4 linked regions of the Caenorhabditis elegans genome follow. The protein of the gene in region 1 purifies or fractionates together with the protein of each later gene. This does not show direct contact. Each region holds a gene or a part of one and is shown in the gene's direction. Other genes may lie near its edges. The genes, in order: lbp-2, dct-16, gst-27 and qdpr-1.

The links.
Region 2: the proteins of lbp-2 (region 1) and dct-16 fractionate together in Caenorhabditis elegans (co-fractionation; one large-scale study listed by BioGRID). This does not show direct contact.
Region 3: the proteins of lbp-2 (region 1) and gst-27 fractionate together in Caenorhabditis elegans (co-fractionation; one large-scale study listed by BioGRID). This does not show direct contact.
Region 4: the proteins of lbp-2 (region 1) and qdpr-1 fractionate together in Caenorhabditis elegans (co-fractionation; one large-scale study listed by BioGRID). This does not show direct contact.

The regions. Positions count from the first base shown.
Region 1 is NC_003284.9:3,257,394-3,262,590, forward strand, and holds lbp-2 (Fatty acid-binding protein homolog 2), read left to right. Parts: upstream 1-3,216; 5' UTR 3,217-3,408; coding exon 3,409-3,726; intron 3,727-3,782; coding exon 3,783-3,896; intron 3,897-3,942; coding exon 3,943-3,996; 3' UTR 3,997-4,077; downstream 4,078-5,197. Other genes in the region: lbp-3 (Fatty acid-binding protein homolog 3), read left to right, coding at 13-151, 198-379, 426-539, 608-670; lbp-1 (Fatty acid-binding protein homolog 1), read left to right, coding at 1,765-2,076, 2,135-2,248, 2,307-2,360. UniProt on the Caenorhabditis elegans protein: May play a role in sequestering potentially toxic fatty acids and their peroxidation products, or it may be involved in the maintenance of the impermeable lipid layer of the eggshell.
Region 2 is NC_003283.11:20,496,829-20,502,132, reverse strand, and holds dct-16 (DAF-16/FOXO Controlled, germline Tumor affecting), read left to right. Parts: upstream 1-3,075; 5' UTR 3,076-3,124; coding exon 3,125-3,137; intron 3,138-3,890; coding exon 3,891-4,150; 3' UTR 4,151-4,209; downstream 4,210-5,304. Other genes in the region: dct-14 (DAF-16/FOXO Controlled, germline Tumor affecting), read left to right, coding at 1,639-1,704, 1,758-1,874, 1,928-2,080; B0250.5 (putative 3-hydroxyisobutyrate dehydrogenase, mitochondrial), read right to left, coding at 4,962-5,159.
Region 3 is NC_003280.10:15,163,567-15,168,809, reverse strand, and holds gst-27 (glutathione transferase), read left to right. Parts: upstream 1-3,101; 5' UTR 3,102-3,140; coding exon 3,141-3,279; intron 3,280-3,379; coding exon 3,380-3,870; 3' UTR 3,871-3,920; downstream 3,921-5,243. Other genes in the region: gst-29 (glutathione transferase), read left to right, coding at 1-217; gst-28 (glutathione transferase), read left to right, coding at 1,418-1,556, 2,049-2,539; gst-26 (glutathione transferase), read left to right, coding at 4,267-4,405, 4,455-4,945.
Region 4 is NC_003281.10:13,390,124-13,395,673, forward strand, and holds qdpr-1 (Dihydropteridine reductase), read left to right. Parts: upstream 1-3,786; 5' UTR 3,787-3,795; coding exon 3,796-3,879; intron 3,880-3,937; coding exon 3,938-4,041; intron 4,042-4,098; coding exon 4,099-4,222; intron 4,223-4,274; coding exon 4,275-4,543; intron 4,544-4,597; coding exon 4,598-4,727; 3' UTR 4,728-4,856; downstream 4,857-5,550. Other genes in the region: T03F6.3 (Glucosamine-6-phosphate deaminase), read left to right, coding at 288-590; dnj-17 (DnaJ homolog subfamily C member 21), read right to left, coding at 802-1,043, 1,100-1,407, 2,160-2,330, 2,378-2,508, 2,563-2,856, 2,901-3,212.

The DNA.
Region 1 (5,197 bases):
CATTTACTCGTCATGAATCTGTACTTAACTTTATTCTCCTTTTGCTTTTTAGCAATTATGGCTGAGGCGGCTTCTGAAATTCCAGAGAAGTTTTTTGGAAAGTATGATCTCGACAGAAGTGAGAACTTTGACGAGTTCCTGGCTGCTAAAGGTAAAAATAATTGATAGTGTACATTTAATAGTAATTTTAATTACAGGAGTGAGCTGGTTTGTGAGACAAATGATCAAATTGGCAAAAGTGAGCAAGGTGCTGGCCAAAAATGAAACTCCTGGAAAATACAACATGGAAAACTTGACTTCAAAGAAGAATACACTCTACCACGGGTGGGAGCTCGGGAAAACTTTCGAGGCAGAAGGCCTTGATGGAGTTGCACACAAGGTTTCAAAAAATATTCAAGTGTCTTAAAAATATTGTTATATTTAAGATTACCTTCTCCTTCAAAGACGGAGTTTTGTCTGAGCACCATATCCGACTCAACGACCCAGAACACAGCGCGGAGACGTACTACTACACTATCGAGAACGATCAACTTGTCATGGTGTGTACTTCGTTCTCTTTTCCTTTTTTCCATTTTACAACTTCTTCCACTAATTTTCTCATTTTTAGAAAATGGTCAACAATGGAATCACGTGCCGTCGTTGGTTCAAGCGATCGACCGGAAAGAAGTAGAAATTATAAACACAACATAAAACTGAGCTCTTCACATTATTAATCACAGATGTTTATTTTTTCTGTCCTTTTAAATAAACAATTGTCCCTTTAGACTTGCTCTGCCATTTTCAAAAATTGCATGATCTCACAAAAAAAAACGAATGAACAGATGGAGGTCAAACATCGAAAGTGGACATAGAACAGATTAGCCAAGGTACAAAGTAGATGGGTCTATTGTAGCCCAATAAAACGTGAGAATCGTATTGGCCAATTTACGGGAAAGGCCATCTGGAAAACAATGATCTCTAATATGAATTCTGTCATCTGGGAATAGGGCTCAAACATTTGAAAACCAGAAAAAAAAACAATTTTGTGTCTTAAAAATTTTAGCTAGTGTTGAAAGTTTAAAAATATTTTTGAAAAATTGTGTTTTATGGGATCCTTACAATATTTTTTCGTTTTCATTTTGAAACCAAAAAAACCCAAAACCGAATGTACCGAAATTCTGCGGCAAAAAAACTTTTTTTCTGAAGTCGTTTTCTTTTTCTGTGGGTCGAATTCTATATGAATAAAAATTTTCATAATTTTTTCCGGTAGTTTTTTTTGGTTTTCCAAAGTCCCAGCCCTGCATGGATTGTGTTTTGAACTGCAGACCTGAAGACCTGTTGCCGTATTCAATGTTTGCTGAAGAAATGGAGAATCATACTATAGACTATGAAAGATAATGATAACATAAAATTATATCAACCAAATAAGGAAATTGCAATTCGATTCGCCTTAAACCTTCAACGAAATTATTTTGAGTTGATTGTTCGGTCTTCCAGGACCCGATTCATGCAACTACTCTCTTCAAAAATATCCGAACTGACCCCAACACACGGAACAAAAAAAATCTGCCCCGAATCATTTATGCTACACTCTCTTTCGATACCCATCCGAGTCCAGCCGTCCATCTCTGCTAATCGTCAGCGCAATCGACATGTGGGCTGCACTTCTTGCCGTACAATGTTGTTTACGACTGTGCAAGTAGGCGGGGTCCACGCAGACGACGTCGACACACAGCCCACAGTCCTGCCAAGACGTCAGTCGTTCATTCATCGACCTAGCCAACCATGTGCGCTAAAATCGCTCTTCTCCTGGTTCTTGTTGGAGCTGCTTCAGCTGCTGTTCTCCCTGATAAGTTCTATGGAACTTTTGACTTGGACCATTCCGAAAATTTTGATGAGTATCTCACTGCTAAAGGATACGGATGGTTCACTCGTAAACTTGTCACTTTTGCCACATTCAAAAAGGTGTTCACTAAGACTTCCAACAAGAACCTCTTTGACTACTCCAACTTGACATCAAAGAAAGACGTCCATTACAAGAATGTCCAACTTGGAAAAGCCTTCCAGGGAGAAGGACTTGACAGCACCAAACACGAGGTACGCTTTTGCAAGTTTTCAAGTAACCTTTCAAATTGATTAATTAATTAATTTTCAGATCACTTTCACCCTCAAGGACGGACATTTGTTTGAGCATCACAAGCCACTCGAGGGAGGAGACGCCAAGGAAGAGACCTACGAGTACCTTTTCGATAAGGAATTCCTTCTTGTGGTAAGTTATAAACATTTTTTAAAAACCAATTTCACATTCTCATGATTGTAATTTTCAGCGCATGAGTTTCAATGGAGTTGAGGGACGCCGATTCTACAAACGACTCCCATAAATATTCAGAAACTATTGTAATTTTTGTATGAATTGATTTCTCAATGTACTTTTTTTGCCACTGATGTATTTCAAGTTTCAAATAAACTGAAAAGTTAGATCGATTCTGTAATGTGATATGGGGCAAAAAATAAGAAAAATAACGCGGTTCTTTTGTGATTCATGCTGCATAGCCCTCTGAAGTTTTTTGTTTGGGAAATGTTTTCACTGGTTTAAAAATGTACATATTAGGAGTTCTAGAAAGCAAAGTTGATTAAAATTTGAATTTTTGTTAACGTGTAAAAGTGACACAAGTGTTAAAAAGAAAATTTTGCACATTGAAGACTTGAAATTAAGAATCAAATTATCAGATGAATTGAACCTATGCTGGAATCAAAACATGAAAGTTCGATTGCGCCGTGATATTTGCAAAAACGTAATTCAAAACACAAAAAGGACACAACCAGTTTAAAATTTCGGGTGGGTCAAAATCCAATCACTTTTCGGTTTTTTTTTTTCGATGTTGTGTTCGAAAGTTTTCTATAAAATGGAGTTTTTTCTACTCTTTCGTATGCTCTTTTTTATTTTTTTTTTCCTGATTTTCACATTTAATTTCTGAATAAGGTACCATTAAATAAGAACCATTTCTCAAAATACATAGTTTAATAACTAAAATCATTGGATCTTGAGGACCTCATTAAAAATATTTTTTTAAGTCTTAAATTGTTTGATGTGCAGTCAAAAAACGTAGCAGTTTTCTTTTCAATTTTCTTAACGCGTTTAAATTTATTTCGACAAAATTCATTCTGCATTTCAACAAGTAATCGATGAATTGTTTTCGTTCGGTCTCTTAAATTTTGTTTATTATTAGCTTCCAGGTGTTGTGAGGATTTTTGAAAATCAAGTAAGTCCGATCATCAATTTGTTGTTGCCATCCGTGCCGTGACCCTATATTACACACGTGGCTGACCTCAGTTTTATTGTGTTGTCGATTGAGCAACTGGGCGGAGTCTTGATCAATCTTCATTTCTGTGGACACTTCAGTCATTCAGTCATTGACTTGAACAAAAATGTCTTCGAAATTCCTCATCTTACTCGCATTTTGTGGAGCTACCCTTGTGGCTGCCGAACAGCTTCCAGAAAAGTTCTATGGAACCTTCGACTTGGATCACTCTGAAAATTTTGATGAGTACCTCACTGCCAAAGGATACGGATGGTTCACTCGAAAGCTTGTAACCTTTGCGACATTCAAGAAGGTTTTTGCCAAGAATGCTAACAAAAACCTCTTCGACTACTCCAACTTGACATCGAAAAAAGATGTGTTCTACAAAAACGTCCAGATCGGAAGCAAGTTCGAAGGAGAGGGTCTTGATAACACCAAGCACGAGGTGAGTTCCATGCCATGTACTTTTTATTTTATTTTTATTTCAATTATAATTTTCAGGTTACCTTCACTCTCAAGGACGGACACTTGTTCGAACATCACAAGCCACTTGAAGAGGGAGAATCCAAGGAAGAAACCTATGAGTATTACTTTGATGGAGATTTTCTTATTCAGGTAAAATTTGGTCAATCTATTTGACATACATTTTTGTTAATTACAGAAGATGAGCTTCAACAATATCGAAGGCCGCAGATTCTACAAGAGACTCCCATAAAAGTTTAAACTTATTCTATTGAAATTTTCTTAAATTTGCAATTCAATTTCATTTCCGAAAAAAATAAATTTATTTTCAAGCAATCTTCTGATGTTTTCAATTTGGAATCTTGGTGGAATGTATTATCCCAATTATTAGTTTTTAATTTTCTACAGATTAAAAAATGAACATGTTGAGGTAAGAAACTTAACACTAGAGTATGATCTCGCTGCCAAATTCTGCAACAACCATTATTTAAACTACAGTTGTCGTTTTCTTTATGTGATTTCATCTAAACGTTGAGTAGCACCAGTGGGAAATTGGCAAAAAACTACGCCTATGGTGCCAAAAGGACCAAATATCAATAATTTTGGAAAATTGTTCATTTACTGTTGAAAAGTGACTCCGTTATTGCCACTCATAATTTTGAAAGTGGACCAAAAAAATTTTCTACTATTTTTACACATTAATTTTGTTTCAATTATTTATGCAGAGATAAAGATCACTTAGCACCTATATTCTACATGTTCTATCATACAAAAAAAAGTGCCATTAATGTGCTAAAAATGTGCTGAAAATGTGCTAAAAATGTGCTAAAAATGTGCTAAAAATGTGCTAAAAATGTGCTTGAAATGTGCTAAAAATGTGCTAGAAATGTGCTTGAAATGTGCTAAAAATGTGCTAAAAATGTGCTAAAAATGTAATTTTAAAAAAAACTTTCGTACAAGCTATTATACTTGATTGGCATTTTTTGGTATTTTTGACTATGCTAAACAGTTTTCTGAAATAAAAAAGAATGACTCCATATGACTTTCCAGGACTTTTGAATTTTTGAAAAAAACCAGCTTTTATATATTTTTATCATTAAAAAAAAAAAACTTCCGTACAAGCTAATATACTTTGATTAGCATATTCTGGTATTTTTGACTATGCTAAACAGTTTTATGAAATAAAAAAGAATGACTCCATATGATTTTCCCATACTTTTGAATTTTTGAAAAAATCAGCTTTTATATATTTTTATCAATTAAAAAAAAAAACTTCCGTACAAGCTAATATACTTTGATTAGCATATTCTGGTATTTTTGACTATGCTAAACAGTTTTATGAAATAAAAAAGAATGACTCCATATGATTTTCCCATACTTTTGAATTTTTGAAAAAATCAGCTTTTATATATTTTTATCAATTAAAAAAAAAAAACGTCCGTACAAGCTAGTAT
Region 2 (5,304 bases), on another chromosome or scaffold:
GTTAACATGTTTTCATTCTCTACACCTGTTTAAATTTAACGTTGTGAGTTGATCAGGTGCACCGGTTTCCCGAAAAACTTCACCGCAACCCAATACATTTCAACGATGACTGACGCGTACCAAGGTGGAAAAGAATCTAAAAAATATACAATTTACTATATCATTGATGGTTCCATAAAGGTTAGTTGGAACCATTTTTTCACTTTGATAATTTGATTTTTAGGCTTGCCTCGCAATTCTTCTTCCCATCCTCACAGCTCTACTAGTTGGACAGCTGAGAAAAATGATCGCTCTGCGGAAAAAAACGTCTTCGTTGAGAAATGATAATGGAAGGCAGGTTTTTCAAAATTAGGCCTTGCTTTCTTTAAGAACAATTTTCAGTCAATCTTCGGATTAAATCACGAAGCTTGTAATTCTGATGGCAATTTCATTTATCACTGCTGAATTGCCAATTGGGATTCTTTATATCTCCACAGGGTTGCTCGCTAGTCATCCGGCAATTGTGTAAGAGAATATAATAATAGTCATTAAACGGGCGGAGTCTAATGGAATTTGCCTACAAGTTGGTCAAACTTCGCGCTAAATTTTTTGGCCAAAATCTTCTAATAAATAAAAGGCAAACATCAAAAATTGTTTGAAAATTTAAACAAGTCGAGATAATATTTTCGGCGTTTCAAAATTTCATCAAGCATTCAATTTTGTTTGAAATTTTTGGTTAAATTTCAGGCAAAAAGTTAAAGAAATTTCTAGTTTAATAATGAAATGTTGAGAATTTTTTGTAAATTTTCTAAATTGAAACAAAAATCCAAAAACTTTACACACAAATTTATAGGACGAGAATAAAGTTCAACAACTGAGATTAAAGTTCTAAAATTTCCAAACAAAATATATATTTTCAATTCAAAATAGAAATATGGAATTATTTTTAAAAAACTGCAGTTTTCTAATTTCAATTTTTAAACTTTTTTTTCTTAAAACTTCAGCAAAAATTAAATCAAGTTTCAAGTATTTTCTGTAAATTTCAATTTATCACTTCTTATTAGAATATTAGATTATCCTTTTGGTAATTTTTTTTAATATAATGGTATTGCTTCATCAAAATTTATTTTTCAGAACTACCATACGCTATTTGATGGATATTTTCACGTCATTTGTTGCCATTAACGCCACCGTTCATTTCTTAATTTGCCTCGGCGTAAACGCTCATTATCGAGACACTGTTAAAGAGCTATTCCGCTGGAAATTTGAAAAATTGAGGAAAACTTCAGATGACTCAACTATGAATTCTCAGAGTGTTGGCCAACCTAGAATTGTCGCTTGATCAATTTTTTTTCAAATTTTTCTACTTTCCAATTTTTATTTTGAACCCCGTGTCCTCTTATTATTTTTGAAATTTAATTCCGCATCCCATCAAGATTACCCTCCGACCAGAACCTCGTCAGACCCCCACCCACACCAGCGCACGTGATAATTAATCATAGTATACCTATACTTGTTGACTATATCCCCCTTAATTCCCATGAGAAGCATCTCATGTGTCTTAATTGAGGGGTACACAGCGAGTTGTAAAGAGGTTGTCCTTAACAACCAAATTTCTGAATCTTTTGCAAACTCATTGCTTTGAATTTCACAACTAAAATGAACCCCGATGCTCCGAGTGTCGAGGAGAAGCTCACCGTCGATGAGTGCTACGTTATTTCCAAGGTGAGCTGAGATTTATGCTAACAAAAAAGCTCGAGTGTTTTTCTTATTTTCAGGAAGATTGGTTTGAGCCAATTTTCTGTAAGCCGAAGCTTATCCCGTTGAAGACTGTGAAAATGCGAGAGATCGAGAAACGACGCAATGAAAACATGGAGAGGGTCAAGGCGATAGAGGTGAGTTTTTTTTTGAGAAACATATAATTTACTTATTTACATTCTTTTTTCAGACAGCTTCAACGTCAGAACAAAAGAACCCAGAGGTGGTACCCAAGGAGCCAAAACCAGAAAAGCCTCGGAACCCGGAAGAGCTCAAGAAACAGAATGAGTTGAACAAGATCGATTTGTGGATCGCCGACGAAGATCCGGCACGTCGCAAGTGACTATTGTCTACTTGTAAACAATAATCCTAACAATCCTATTTTTAACTCCAAACTTTTCGCGATTTCAATTTTCAAAAAACATTCCAGACAACCTCTAAACCTACATGATCATCCTAGTACTTCTTGGCCCAAGCGCTATGTCCAAAAAGTCAGGTCTACCCTATGTACTGCCGTGTAGTCAAACAAGCTTCACCATCATGCCATTCACCTTCTTCCCATCATTTCTCCTGCCCTCTTATCTCTAAAAATTGTGATTTCTGATTATTTCAATAAATAATAAATATGTTTTGCGTTGAAATTCTGGTCATTGAGATTTTTTAGGTGGTCTGTAATCATGGGCTCTTAAAACTTTGATACACCTGAGCTTAGGCCAAAGCTAATCCTTAAAAAAAAGCTAAGCCTAAACGCTAAACCGAAGCTATTGGGATTATTCATGTGATGCCAAAAAATGCACAAATGATTTTTATACAGTTTTACCCTATCCCTAAAAACGAAGGCATTTTTTTTAATTTTTCAACATTTTTCGACATTTATCTACATCGGCCGACAGCCCGCTTCACATGAAAAATGTAGAAAAATGTAGAAAAATGCAAAAAAAGCATGTGTTTTTTTTACATTTTTCTACACACATGAATAGATAGGGGAAAAATGTAAAAAATACATTTTTGCATTTATCGTCATCTCATGAATAACCCTATAAAGCCTAAGCCTGGGCCATAGTTTTTCTGGAAAATATCAGACATTAATCTCTATTTGCCACATGGATTCCAGCAAGTTTCCACGTTAAAATCTTCGCGAGCCGTCATATCACTAAAATTCCTTATCTACATAGTGTTCTTGACACATCATTAAATTAGTTGCTCGCGGAGCAACAACTGCAAAAACGGTCTTCGTTCGGAACACGTAAGCATGCAAACACGCGCTGGAAGAGCAAAGTGCATGCGGTCACAAACATTTTTTCTCGGTATAAAATGCCAAGCGGGGTGCCACATTTCGGCATAGGCATCAATTTTCACTGCTGCTGCTGCTGAATCAACACTAAAAATGGCCGAGAAACGTGAGTTTTTGGATGTATGCTTATTTTTTCAAGAATTCATGTTTTTTGTTCAATTTGAAAAAAATTTAACAATAAGACCGAAAATGGCGAAAAATTGAAATTTTCAATTTTTGTTGATTTTTCGGCAGAAAAAAGTATGTAATTCTTTAGCAAGTTATTGTTTTGATTTTTTACATGTAATTGTACAATAACCTCATATTCCAGATATTATAGGATACAACACCAAAAAATGATTTAATTTTTTACATTTTTAGATGTCAGGCTGTCCCATTTTGGTGAGATCTACAAAAAAAGCGGGAATTTAGACGCAGACTTCTCAACTGATTTTACATGGTTAAGAACATGCTGACACGTCACATATTTTTGGAAAAAAATTCCCGCATTTTCTGTAGATCAAACAGTAATGGGCAGTCTGACACCACACGCTTCCAATAAAAAAAGTTTATTAAAAATATCGGAAACTACCCGAACATACAACCAACTTGAAAAGTACAGCACACACGTGGTGTCAGGCTGTCCCATTACGGTTTGATCTACAAAAAATGCGGGATTTTTTAACCCAAACAAATGTGACGTCAGCACGTTCTTAACCATGCAAAATCAGTTAAGAAGTCTGCATCTCAATTCCCGCCATTTTCGAAGATCTAAGTAGATCAAACCACGCAAATTACCTAATAAAAATCCAAAAATTGAAAATTTTCGGATTTTTTGTAGGTCTCCTAATACCCTACTAATATGTAAAAAAAATTTCAGTCGCAAAAGCCAAGGAGGAGATGACAGCCGCCGGTCTCTCGCCAGAATCCATCGAGGGAATTCTCAAAATCGCCGCCACTTACAAGAAGAAGGACGATGAGCCAGAACGTGATGCTGCCACTTCTTTGGCAATTATCACAAAAATGATCGGAGAGACCAATGAGTATATTAAGGGACAATCGGAAGCCGATCAGAAGATCTACGCTGTCATTATTGAGAAGAAGAAGGCCGAGCTTATCGAGGCCGCCAAGAAGCAATAGATTTTCTTTTTGTTTTGAAATTTTATTCTATTATGAGCTTGTAATAAAATAATTTTTGTAATTTTAAACTTGTAATGGTCACATACTTTTGGGAAAAAAATTCCCGCATTTTCTGTAGATCAAACAGTAATGACACCACGTATTTCTAATGAAAAAGTTCCTTTAAAATTTCGGAAACTGCCCGAACCTACTTGACCTACTTGAAAAGTAATGTACATACATGGTGGCTGTCCCATTACGGTTTGATCTACAAAAAATGCGGGATTTTTTTGCCCAAAAAGTGCACGCTTTTATCCATGCGAAGTCAATTGAGAAATCTGCATCTCAATTCCCGCATTTTTCGAAGATCGAAGTAGATCGAACCACGCAAATTTAATTCAATTATGAGCTTGTAATAAATAATTTTTTTGTAATTTTGAACTTGTAATGGTCTTTCCAAGTGATTTTTCATGGAAAATATATTCTTGTAAATTTTTTAAAAATCTCTATTTTTTCTTATAAAATCAGCTTTTTTTTCGATAAATTTTTGTGACAAAAATTGATTTTTTAAGATTAATTTTTCGATTAAAACCCTGAAAATTTTAAATTTTTTTTCGAATTTTTTCGATTCGATTTTTTCCCAGACAGTTTTTCGAATTTAAACAAAAAATTCATAAATTTCTATTTTTTTCTACATAAAAAACACAATTTGGCACATAGAAAAAAGGCGGAAAAATCACATAAAATATGCTTAAAAATTGGAAAAATCCTGAAAATACGGGGCTTCAAATCACATAAAATATGCTTTAAAAATTTCAGAAAAAACCGAAAATTATGAGTTTTGTTTCTTCAAAAACTGATAGACGACACCGAAATCCTTTGCCTGGTACTGTGGATCACGAGCCAGAATACGGTAGATTTGATGAGCCAGTGAGCCCATTGGAGTTGGTGCTTGAGTATTTGTTGAAGCATTTTGAGCCAATGAAAGGTCTTTTGCCATTAGAGTCGTTCCGAAGCCGCCAGCATAACCCTGAAATTGGAAATTTTAGGTTGATCGGCGGAATTTAGGAGACTTTCATTGAAATTTTTGAATGAAATTTCTGGCAAATCGGCGAATTGGCACATTGCCGGAATTGAAAATTTCCGGCACACCGGCAAACCGGCAATTTGCCGAA
Region 3 (5,243 bases), on another chromosome or scaffold:
CATCACAAACCTCCTTGAAAAGAGCAAGTCAGGATTTCTCGTTGGAGATGGGCTCACATTTGCTGATATTGTCGTGGTGGAAAGTCTTACCAACCTGGAGAAAGTTCATTTTTTCGATGCATCGGAGCACCCGAAATTGGCAGCTCTCAGGGAGAAGATCTACGCAATTCCGGCAATCAAAAGCTGGGTGGATATTCGACCAGATACTATTTATTAATTTAGTTTCTGGATTTCTTTTGTGAATAAATTGAAATAAATTCAGAAATATTCATGCAACTATTTTTATACTTACAATTAGAACAATTTTATTTTGGCGGGGACCGCGGACAAATAACGGGCGAGACCACAAATCAGGGGTGGGCGGAAAACGATTTTTTCTGGCAAATAGGCAAATAGCCGGAATTGAAAACTTCCAGCAAATCAGCAAACTGGCAAATTGCCGGACTTGAAATTTTCGGCAAATCGGCAAATCTGCAAATTGCCGGAATTAAAAACCTCCGGCAAATCGGAAACCGGAAAATTGCGGAATTAAATTTTCCGAGAAACCGGCAAATCTACAAATTGCCGGAATTGAAAACTTCTGGCAAATCGGCAAACCAGAAAATTGCCGGAATTGAAATTTTCGGCAAATCGGCAAATCTGCAAATTGTCGGAATTAAAAACCTCCGGCAAATCGGAAACCGGAAAATTGCGGAATTAAATTTTCCGAAAACCCGGCAAATCTACAAATTGCCGGAATTGAAAACTTCTGGCAAATCGGCAAACCAGAAAATTGCCGGAATTGAAATTTTCGGCAAATCGGCAAATCTGCAAATTGTCGGAATTAAAAACCTCCGGCAAATCGGAAACCGGAAAATTGCGGAAATAAATTTTCCGAGAAACCGGCAAATCTACAAATTGCCGGAATTGAAAACTTCTGGCAAATCGGCAAACCAGAAAATTGCCGGAATTGAAATTTTCGGCAAATCGGCAAATCTGCAAATTGTCGGAATTAAAAACCTCCGGCAAATCGGAAACCGGAAAATTGCGGAATTAAATTTTCCGAAAACCCGGCAAATCTACAAATTGCCGGAATTGAAAACTTCTGGCAAATCGGCAAACCGTCAAATTGGGCTCAGGCTCAGGCTCAGGCTTTTGAAGTCCTAGTTTCAACAAAACCAAAAACCACAACCAAAAACCAAAGTGGCAGGAAACGGCAAAAGATCAATCGTTTCAAATTGTTCAAACACAACCAAGCATCAACTGCCAGCACACGTGAAGGCAGAGACATAGACGGTAAACATATAGTATAAAAAGGGTTGGCAAAGTTGTACAGAAAAATAATTGATGCGATTATTTTGTTGTCCAATTATTTTCGGCGTTCCAGTTTTCCTTTTTTGCGTATAAATACTACTTCATTACAGAAAAGTTGTCAAAAATGCCTACCTACAAGCTCACCTATTTCAATGCTCGTGGATACGCTGAGGCCGCACGTATCCTCTTCCACTTGGCAGATGTTCCATTCGAGGACTTCCGTATGACACACGGAGATGGAACATGGGAGAAGCTTAAAGACGGTTAGTGGAGATTTGGGGCCTACCGATTGCCTGCCTATCTTATTATAGCGCGATATTTTGATAAGAAGTTATGGATGGCATTCAAATTTTAAAAAAAGTTCTGACAATAATGGGAAAGCCAAATTTTCTGAGCACACGGTCTTGGATGGGTTAAATTTTTTTCAAAAAATTGTAGGCATCATTTTTCGTAAAAAAGGCATTCCAAATTAAAACAAAAAATTATTTAAAAAATTTCGCCGGAAAAATCAATTTTTTTTATAAAATAGTTTTAGGGCTATGTATATGTAATTGTTTCGAAACTTTTTTAGCGGGAAATTCACAATAAAAAAAACATTATTTTTCACGATGAAGTTTTGGATGGGATTCGAATTTTAATCTAAAAATTTTTTTCTAGAAACTTTTACAACTTCTGGAGCTTTTTGGAAAATTTCTGAAAATTTTGAAATTTTTAGAATGCTCCAAATACTTACTCACATATATATATTTTTTCAGGCGCCCCATTTGGTCAAGTACCTTACCTGACCGTTGATGGATTTGATATCCCACAATCTGCTGCAATAATCCGCTACCTTGCCAACAAATTCGGATATGCTGGAAAAACCCCAGAAGAGCAGGTTTGGGCAGATGCCATCGTTGATCAGTTCAAGGATTTCATGGGATCATTCCGCGAACGTATCATGGCACATTTCGCTGGAAAATCTCAGGAAGAAATTGCAAAGATCACTTCTGAAGTAGTGATTCCAGCTAGAGATTCGTACTTTAAGATTCTCAATGGGCTTCTTGAAAAGAGCAAGTCAGGATTCCTAGTCGGCGACAGTATCACCTTCGCGGACATTGTCATCTCTGAGAATATTACTACTTTGGAGAAAAATCAATTGTTTGTTGCTTCGGAGCAACCAAACTTGGCTGCTCTTCGAGAGAAGGTCTATGCAATTCCAGCTATCAGGAAGTGGGTAGAGGCTCGTCCAGATACTCAGTACTAAATCGAAAATTTTCTTGAAATTTTGTTCAATGAAGTAATATAATTACAAATTCGAATAAATTTTTAAAATGCACCACTATTTGCATTCTTATTTGCAATTTTCCTCTCAATCGCAGCTGCCTTCTTCCTCTAAAACCCGCACTCAACATCATTCTCAACAACACCGTTTCTGCCAAGTGCACGCGTGGCCTGCTGGATAACGAGTTGGTCTCTCGTTCCGACTGCCACAGGTTCGTGCCCTCTCACCGCCTCTCTACCAAACACTTGCAAGTTCTGTTTATTGCAAGTGCATGGAAGAGGCGAATAGAAAACGGAATGATGTCCACTCCTTCGATTATCGTTCATTGGATTGCGGGCACTTTACCTCGTTCGACATTTTTTATTTTAACTTAAAGTAGAATTTTGGATTTTATTGACTCTCCGTCCGAATTTTTATTGACTCTTCTCCCACCTCCCCCCCCCCCCCCCCATCCATTTCTTGGTTTTTGGTTTATTGATCTCCACGACAGTTTGATAACACTTTGCGGAGGAATTTTTCCCAATCATTTTGCTTGCAGAATCACACAAGAAAACTGTCTGGTTGTGGTTTTCATTTAACTAAAATGCCATCCTACAAGCTGACCTATTTTAACGTGCGTGGATATGGAGAACCAGCTCGTATTCTGTTCCATCTTGCCGATGTTCCATTTGAAGATTTCCGAATGACCATTGGAGATGGAACATGGGAAAATCTCAAAGCCAGTAAGTAATAGCGACCTTGAAACGCCATATTAAAATTTAAAAAAAACTGAAATAAAGTAGCCAAGACAGAAATTGAACATTATTTTTTGTTTCTATTTAGAAACTCCATTTGGACAAGCCCCAGTCTTATCAGTTGATGGATTTGAAATTCCACAATCCGCTGCAATCAACCGCTACCTTGCCAAGCAATTCGGATATGCTGGAAAAACCCCGGAGGAGCAAGCCTGGACTGATGCTATCGTCGATCAATACAAGGATTTTATGGTATCAATCAAAGAAGTGGGAAAAGCAAGCGCTGCTGGAAAGTCTGCCGAGGAGGTCGGGAAGATCATCCAGTCAGATCTCGTTCCGGCAAGAGATGCATTCTTTGTGATAATCAACAAGATCCTTGAGAAGAGCAAGTCCGGATTTTTAGTTGGAGATGGTCTAACCATCGCAGATATTGTGATTGTGGAATGCATCACAACTTTGGACAAACATCAGCTCTTCACTGCATCGGAGCAACCAAAATTGGTCGCGCTTCGAGAGAAGGTATATGCGATTCCAGCAATAAAGAAATGGGTTGAGATTCGTCCAGATACCCTGAACTAGGTTTGTTTTAAATGTGCTGATATATTAATTCAATAAATCGTTATGTTATGTTCATGTAATCTCATTTTATTTTCAAATACGTTAATTCTGAACGTGTTAATTCTATTTTTAACTTTATTTTTCTATCTAGATTGAAGCTAAACTCAGTTCTGTTCAATTTTACAGTTAAAAAAATTTTATGGTCCAGGATACATTTTTTAAAATTGTACAATTGACCTTAAATTGTTATTTTTCTCTGAAATACTTTGTAAAAATTAATCATGGTTTGACTTTTTCTGTCAAATATTTGATAAGACTATGCGGAAAGACTGCATTTTTCCAATGCTATTTCGAAAAATTGTTTGATATCGGAATCACACTATCACACATACCTATATTTAAAACAGACAGATCACTATGCCTTCCTACAAACTCACCTATTTCAACGCTCGTGGCTACGGAGAAGCTGCTCGTATTCTCTTCCATCTTGCCGATGTTCCATTTGAGGATTTCCGTATGACCCATGGAGATGGAACATGGGAAAAGCTGAAAGAAAGTAGGTCATTTATATGTGGCAAACACTAAACTCAAAGTAAGTATTTCAGAAACTCCACTCGGACAAGTCCCGGTCCTATCCGTCGATGGATTTGAAATTCCACAATCTGCTGCAATCATCCGCTATCTTGCCAATAAATTTGGATATGCTGGAAAAACCCCGGAAGAGCAAGCTTGGGCAGATGCCATCGTTGACCAATTCAAGGATTTCATGGGATCCTTCAGAGAAGTCGGAAAAGCACATGCCGCTGGAAAGCCAGCTGAGGAGATTGCAAAGATCATGCAATCAGATGTCGTTCCGGCTAGAGATGCATTCTTCGTAATCATCAATGGGATCCTGGAGAAGAGCAAGTCAGGATTCTTGGTTGGAGATGGGCTCACTTTTGCCGATATTGTAGTTGTGGAGTGCATCACAACTTTGGACAAAAATCAGTTATTCACTCCAGCGGGAGAGCCAAAGTTGGTTGCTCTTCGGGAGAAGGTCTATGCGATTCCAGCTATCAAGAAGTGGGTCGAGATTCGCCCAGATACTCAGTACTAAAGTTTGTTGTAAATTGTTTGATAATTGAATACAATAAATAGTTTTAATATCTCCTTGTAAAAATTCAAATTATTGTGGGAATATAAATTCACTAGTGTAATTTAATTTTCTAAAAATTTCATAGTTCTGTTCGCTACAGTAACAGTGCTGCTTGAGTACCGAAGATAATTCTCAAGTGCTTCGAACCACTCTTTTCATTTATTTCATACTCATATGTAACCTAAAACATAGAGCTGTGTACTGTTTTACTATTGAGTACGAAAATTTTATTTCAAACATGTTATCAAACAATCAATGG
Region 4 (5,550 bases), on another chromosome or scaffold:
AATCCGACGAAATTGAACGAAATTTGTTGGAAAACGTCAATCATCTCGTAAATTGACATGTCACAGCGCGCTCCAATGAGAATGTTTCTGACGCGCGTTTGAAAGTCGTCTTAAAATAATTGAATTTTTCGCGCTACATTGACAATTGCCTGCTGGAAAGTCGTGTACTCCACACGGACAAATACATTTAGCGTTGCAACTAAACCCCGGCCTTGGCCGAGTCAAAATGAGCCAGAACCGCGTGTGCACATAGATATTTGGAATCAGGAGTAAAATAATAATTCCAGGCTAACGCTCGTTTCTTCGGTGGAGACATCACAAAAGTGCCAACACAAGCTCTGACAGTCGGCGTCCAGACTGTAATGGATGCTCGTGAAGTGATGATTCTCATCACAGGATCACACAAAGCGCTGGCTCTTCATCAGGCAATCGAATGCGGAATCTCTCACATGTGTACGGTCTCTGCGATGCAGATGCATCGATGTGCAACGTTTATTGCCGACGAAGATGCCACGTTGGAGTTGAAAGTGAAGACGGTCAAATATTTCAAAGGATTAATGAATCATCATCGTTCACTTGTCATGTTTTAATCTGTATTACTTTTTTTCATGTACCCTTCCACTAATTTTCACTGTAACTTTCACTGTAACTTTGAATACTAAATATTGAACATTTTGGTACTCATTATTTGCCCATTATTCTTCCCGAAACATTTCAATAAAATTGAATTTTGAAAAATATTTATTAAACTTTCACAAACAAAACAATTAGAACAAGAATAAATACCAAAAAAAAAATGTTTCACCAATCCTCATCATCCCCCTTATTTCCACGTTGTCCCTTCTTATTTTTCGCCTTCTTCTGTCCTTTTTCTCCTGGTTTGTTGATGAGCAACGTGGCGTGTCCGGTTTCTTGTAAATGAGCAAATAACCTGGTCCGGCTATCGAATACCTCACGGCATTTATCACAAATTGCAGATTTTGGTTCAGTTGACTTCGGTGCTTCTTCCTCTACTGTCGCCGATGGGTTTTGATTTTTATCAGCTGAAAACAAAATTTTTGTTTTTGTTTTAAAGATTTTGCAATTCTACAAAATGTACCTCTTCTCTTCTTTTTCTCTTTCTTAACAACTTCCGGGGTACATTCCTTTTCCTCTTCCTCCGGCTGCTCATTTTCCACGGGCGGCGCTTCCTGAATCTCGGCTTCTACTGCTTCTGTTTCTTCCACATCAAATATTCCATTCCCCTTTTTCCTATCCTTTCTCTTATTCTTCTTTCCTTTCGGTGTTTCGTCGGGTTTCGGTTCTGCTTCGGTGAAAATCGTGGAATCTTCTTCTTTCATATGCTTTTTCAGCTCATTCAGCTGACGGATGTGTTGCTTCGAGTTCTCATGATTCAACTTGGCGTTTCTGAAATTAAGTTTGAAGAATATTATAGAGATGAATATAATCAGACTTTTGAAATTGAGGTGCAAGCGCGCTCCACGGACAAAAGTTGGGTCTCGTTAGGTAGTGGCGGTAAATCCATAATTTTAAACGTTTTCAATATTTTTTCGTATTTTTTGTCTCTCACTTTTCTTCAAGGATTTTCATTTTTTTCTAAAATAATCAAAAAATCAAAAAAATTATTTTTCAGAAAATTGACACACAATTTCAACTTTTTTATAAAGTTTTGTATATTTTGATAAGAAAAATTAGTCTTTTTTCTTTTTTTTTATATCGGAAAATTACATATCGATTTTTTTTTAGTTTTGGTTCATTCCAATTCGAAAAAAAAATTCTCGATGTTTTTTTAAAAATTTTTTCAATATTTCAAAAAATTTGATTTTTAGAAAAATGACCTCAAATTTTTCAATTTTTCTTCTTTTTTTTCATTTTTTAAACGTTTTATTTAGATTTTTCGATTTTAAAAGATCAAAAAAAAATTTTTTAAAGGAGTTCCGATAAATCTATAATTTTCGTTTTTCAATTCTCAATGTTTCGATTATTGTGCATTTTTTAAGCTTTTTTTTAAACAAAAATCGTTTGAAATTAAGGTTTTGCAGCCAATGCCTAACAAGACCCAACTTTGGAGGCGGAGCGATTTAATTTTTCCGTGAAGCGTACTTGCATCTCCATTTCAAAAATGGCATTTTTCTGCGTCTTTATAATATTCTGCTTACACAGTTTTGAACGATTTGCTACAAACAACACAATATGGAAGTTCTTCTCCTTCTTCATCACATTCATCACTACAAGTATCGTAATCCTCGGCCATTTGTAGACTAACTTCAATCAAATGAGCAAGACGGGCTGCCTCGGCTTCTTTGTCGTTCAGATATGAGTTGGCTAGCCTGAAAAATTCAATTTTTTCCTTATTTTTCACAATTTCGGAACTTACTCTTGATTTTTGGCGATCTGCTTTTTTCGATTATCAGCTTGTTTCTTATGTGCTTCCAATTTTTTTTGCTCCAAAATTTCCCTATATGCTTTGACACGTGGATCACGTTTTCGAACAAAAGCGACCAGATTCTGAAAAATTTTGTTAAATTTAAATTTAAAATTAAATATTCCGGACAATCATACCCTAATTTGCTCGTTCCTTTCCTGCTTTCCGACATCCCTAAACTTCTTATTTTCCTGATCGATTTGCCGTGATTCGAATCGATTTGAAGCCTGTGTGATATCATAATGATCCAGCCAGGCAAAAGAGCGAGTTGTCGAAAAAGAGCTCCAAAAACCGTAGAAACCATTCACAGTTTGCTCCAAATCGGTATCCTTGTCGCCAAACTCTGGATAGACTATTGTTGAATCGTTGTACGCATCATATTCCTCAGAAACTAGGATATTGAAGACTTTCCGGTAGACAGTGAAGAAGCCCTGTAATTTATAATTTTGATTTACTTTTTAGATTTCATTCTCACATTTTTATCGTTTTCATATCCTTGATAGCAAGAAGCGGTGAAATAGGGGAACAAATCCGTGGATTGTTCCTCGAAATCCGTATTTTTTCCCTTCAGAATACTTTCTCTATGTCTATCGTAAAATTCGCGTTCTCGTGGATCACTCAAAACGTCGTACGCAGCTTGAAGAAGCCTAAATTGCTGAGTACACTCTTCGATGCGATCCGGATTTTTGTCGGGATGCCATTTGAGCGCTAGTTTTCTGTAGTTCTTTTTGATTTTATCGTCATCAGCGTCGCGTTCAACTTCGAGCACTTCGTAATGGCATTTCATAGCTGAAATATTTAAAATTTACTCTAAATATGATTTTATTTTATAAATTGAAATGAATAGTTCATGCGAAACCATTTAAATAATAATAGAAACAAGAAAAAGAATTAAATGAAAAGAAAAAGTTATCTATCGTCTCTCCTTTCCACACGATGTCTCGCCATCTACATTAGAGCGCAATTGTAAAAAAATAATTTCCTATATTTTTTCCCACGATGTTTTGACGAATTCTGAGAAGCTAATTCACATTTTCCTGTTGTGATTCATATTAAATGTTGTTGAGCTAAATAAGAGCTATCGATTGATATGTCTGCCAAATTTCTTGCAAAAATATAACTGATAAAACTCTCGATAACAAAAGTTCGTTTCGAGTTCAAGCTCGGAAACCGATTTCCAAAATGTTGTTTCATCTTTATTTTCCTGAATTCCATCAAGTTTTCCCTCATTTAACATTAAAAATCTGTGTCTCTGATCACTCGTTGATACCAGTATCACATTAAAATCGTCCTTGACGTCGTCCACGCGGCCAATTTGTCCTTCAACCTCCATATTGTCATTCTTTACTTTTTCCTTGCAGTTTCGAACAATGTCCAGTGGAAAAGTTATCGTATACGGAGGCAAAGGCGCACTTGGATCTGCTATTCTTGAATTCTTCAAGAAAAATGGTTATGTAAGTTTTAAAAGAAATTGAATTAGGATGTTGTAAATTAATTTTCATTAATTTTCAGACTGTTCTAAACATCGACTTGAGTGCCAATGACCAAGCTGACAGTAATATTTTGGTGGACGGAAATAAAAATTGGACAGAACAAGAACAATCCATTCTCGAGCAGTAAGTTGTATTTTTAATTTAAAAAAAAGCTACCGTAACCTCATAAAATATTTGCAGAACTGCTTCATCTCTCCAGGGAAGTCAGGTTGATGGAGTTTTCTGTGTTGCCGGTGGATGGGCTGGAGGCTCCGCTTCTTCAAAAGATTTTGTGAAAAATGCTGATTTAATGATCAAACAATCGGTAACATATATTAATCCTAAACATCTGGTATTATTCTACCGTGAATTTTCAGGTCTGGAGTTCAGCAATTGCAGCCAAATTGGCCACCACTCACCTCAAGCCGGGAGGTCTTCTTCAGCTTACAGGAGCTGCTGCTGCTATGGGACCAACTCCATCAATGATTGGATATGGTATGGCAAAAGCTGCAGTTCATCATCTGACATCTTCATTGGCTGCCAAAGATTCGGGATTGCCTGACAATTCGGCCGTTTTGACAATTATGCCAGTCACTTTGGACACCCCAATGAACAGAAAATGGATGCCAAATGCTGATCATTCAAGGTAAAATTAAATTACTCTTTTTCTTTTGCATAGTTTTCTATGTTTTTTTTTCAGCTGGACTCCACTCTCATTCATCTCTGAACATCTTCTCAAATGGACCACAGAAACATCGAGCCGTCCATCTTCCGGGGCTCTCCTCAAAATAACCACTGAAAATGGAACATCGACTATCACTCCACAATAATTTTACCGACATTTTTCAGCCTTTTTTACATTCCGCTTATTATCTGTTATTTTTCCATGTAGTATGCTATCAATTTCTAAATCATTTGTCCATAAAGCTTGTGATGTTTTTAAGTAAAAATGTTTTATTATCTAGATGCGAAATATTGCAATTTTTCTGCTGAAAATACGGTACCGGTCTCGACGCGACAATTTCTTATGGTTTTTTTTTAGTTCCCTATTTTCTTTAAATTTATAGAAAATTCTACGGCAACAAAATGTTACAAAATTACAGTACTCCCTAAAGGCGCATCCCTTTTCGAAGTTAATCAAAGTTTGTCGTGTTGAGACCGAGTACCGTATTTTCGGGGCAAAAGTAAAAATTTGCTAGAAACTCGCAAAAGATTTTATACAAATTACGTTGAAAATAACTTTACCAAAATATTATGAATTCAGAGAATGGAAAATATACCTTGGAAGGGGCACACCACTTTTGCGATGGGTCCTGAAACGATTTTAATTAAAAATCTACAACATATTGTTCATGCTCCTTTAAATTACCGAAAAATTGTTTTTTTTTTTCGTTTTCTTTTTCAGCGTATTATTACATAATTCTTGTCCCAAATCTTTAGTTTAATTCGTCAATTCTCACCATATTGATATGACAAGAAAACAGAGAAACCCGCAGTTTATTAGTCACTCCCATATCATTTTCTCTCTTCCAATTCTCCTCTATCTGTTTGCAGAGAATAAATCTTCACACTTTTTTCTGTTCTTTTTTTCTCGATTTTTGTTTCAAAAATAATTTGTTCACTCCCGCCGTTCTTCGGGGACGGAACTGTGTC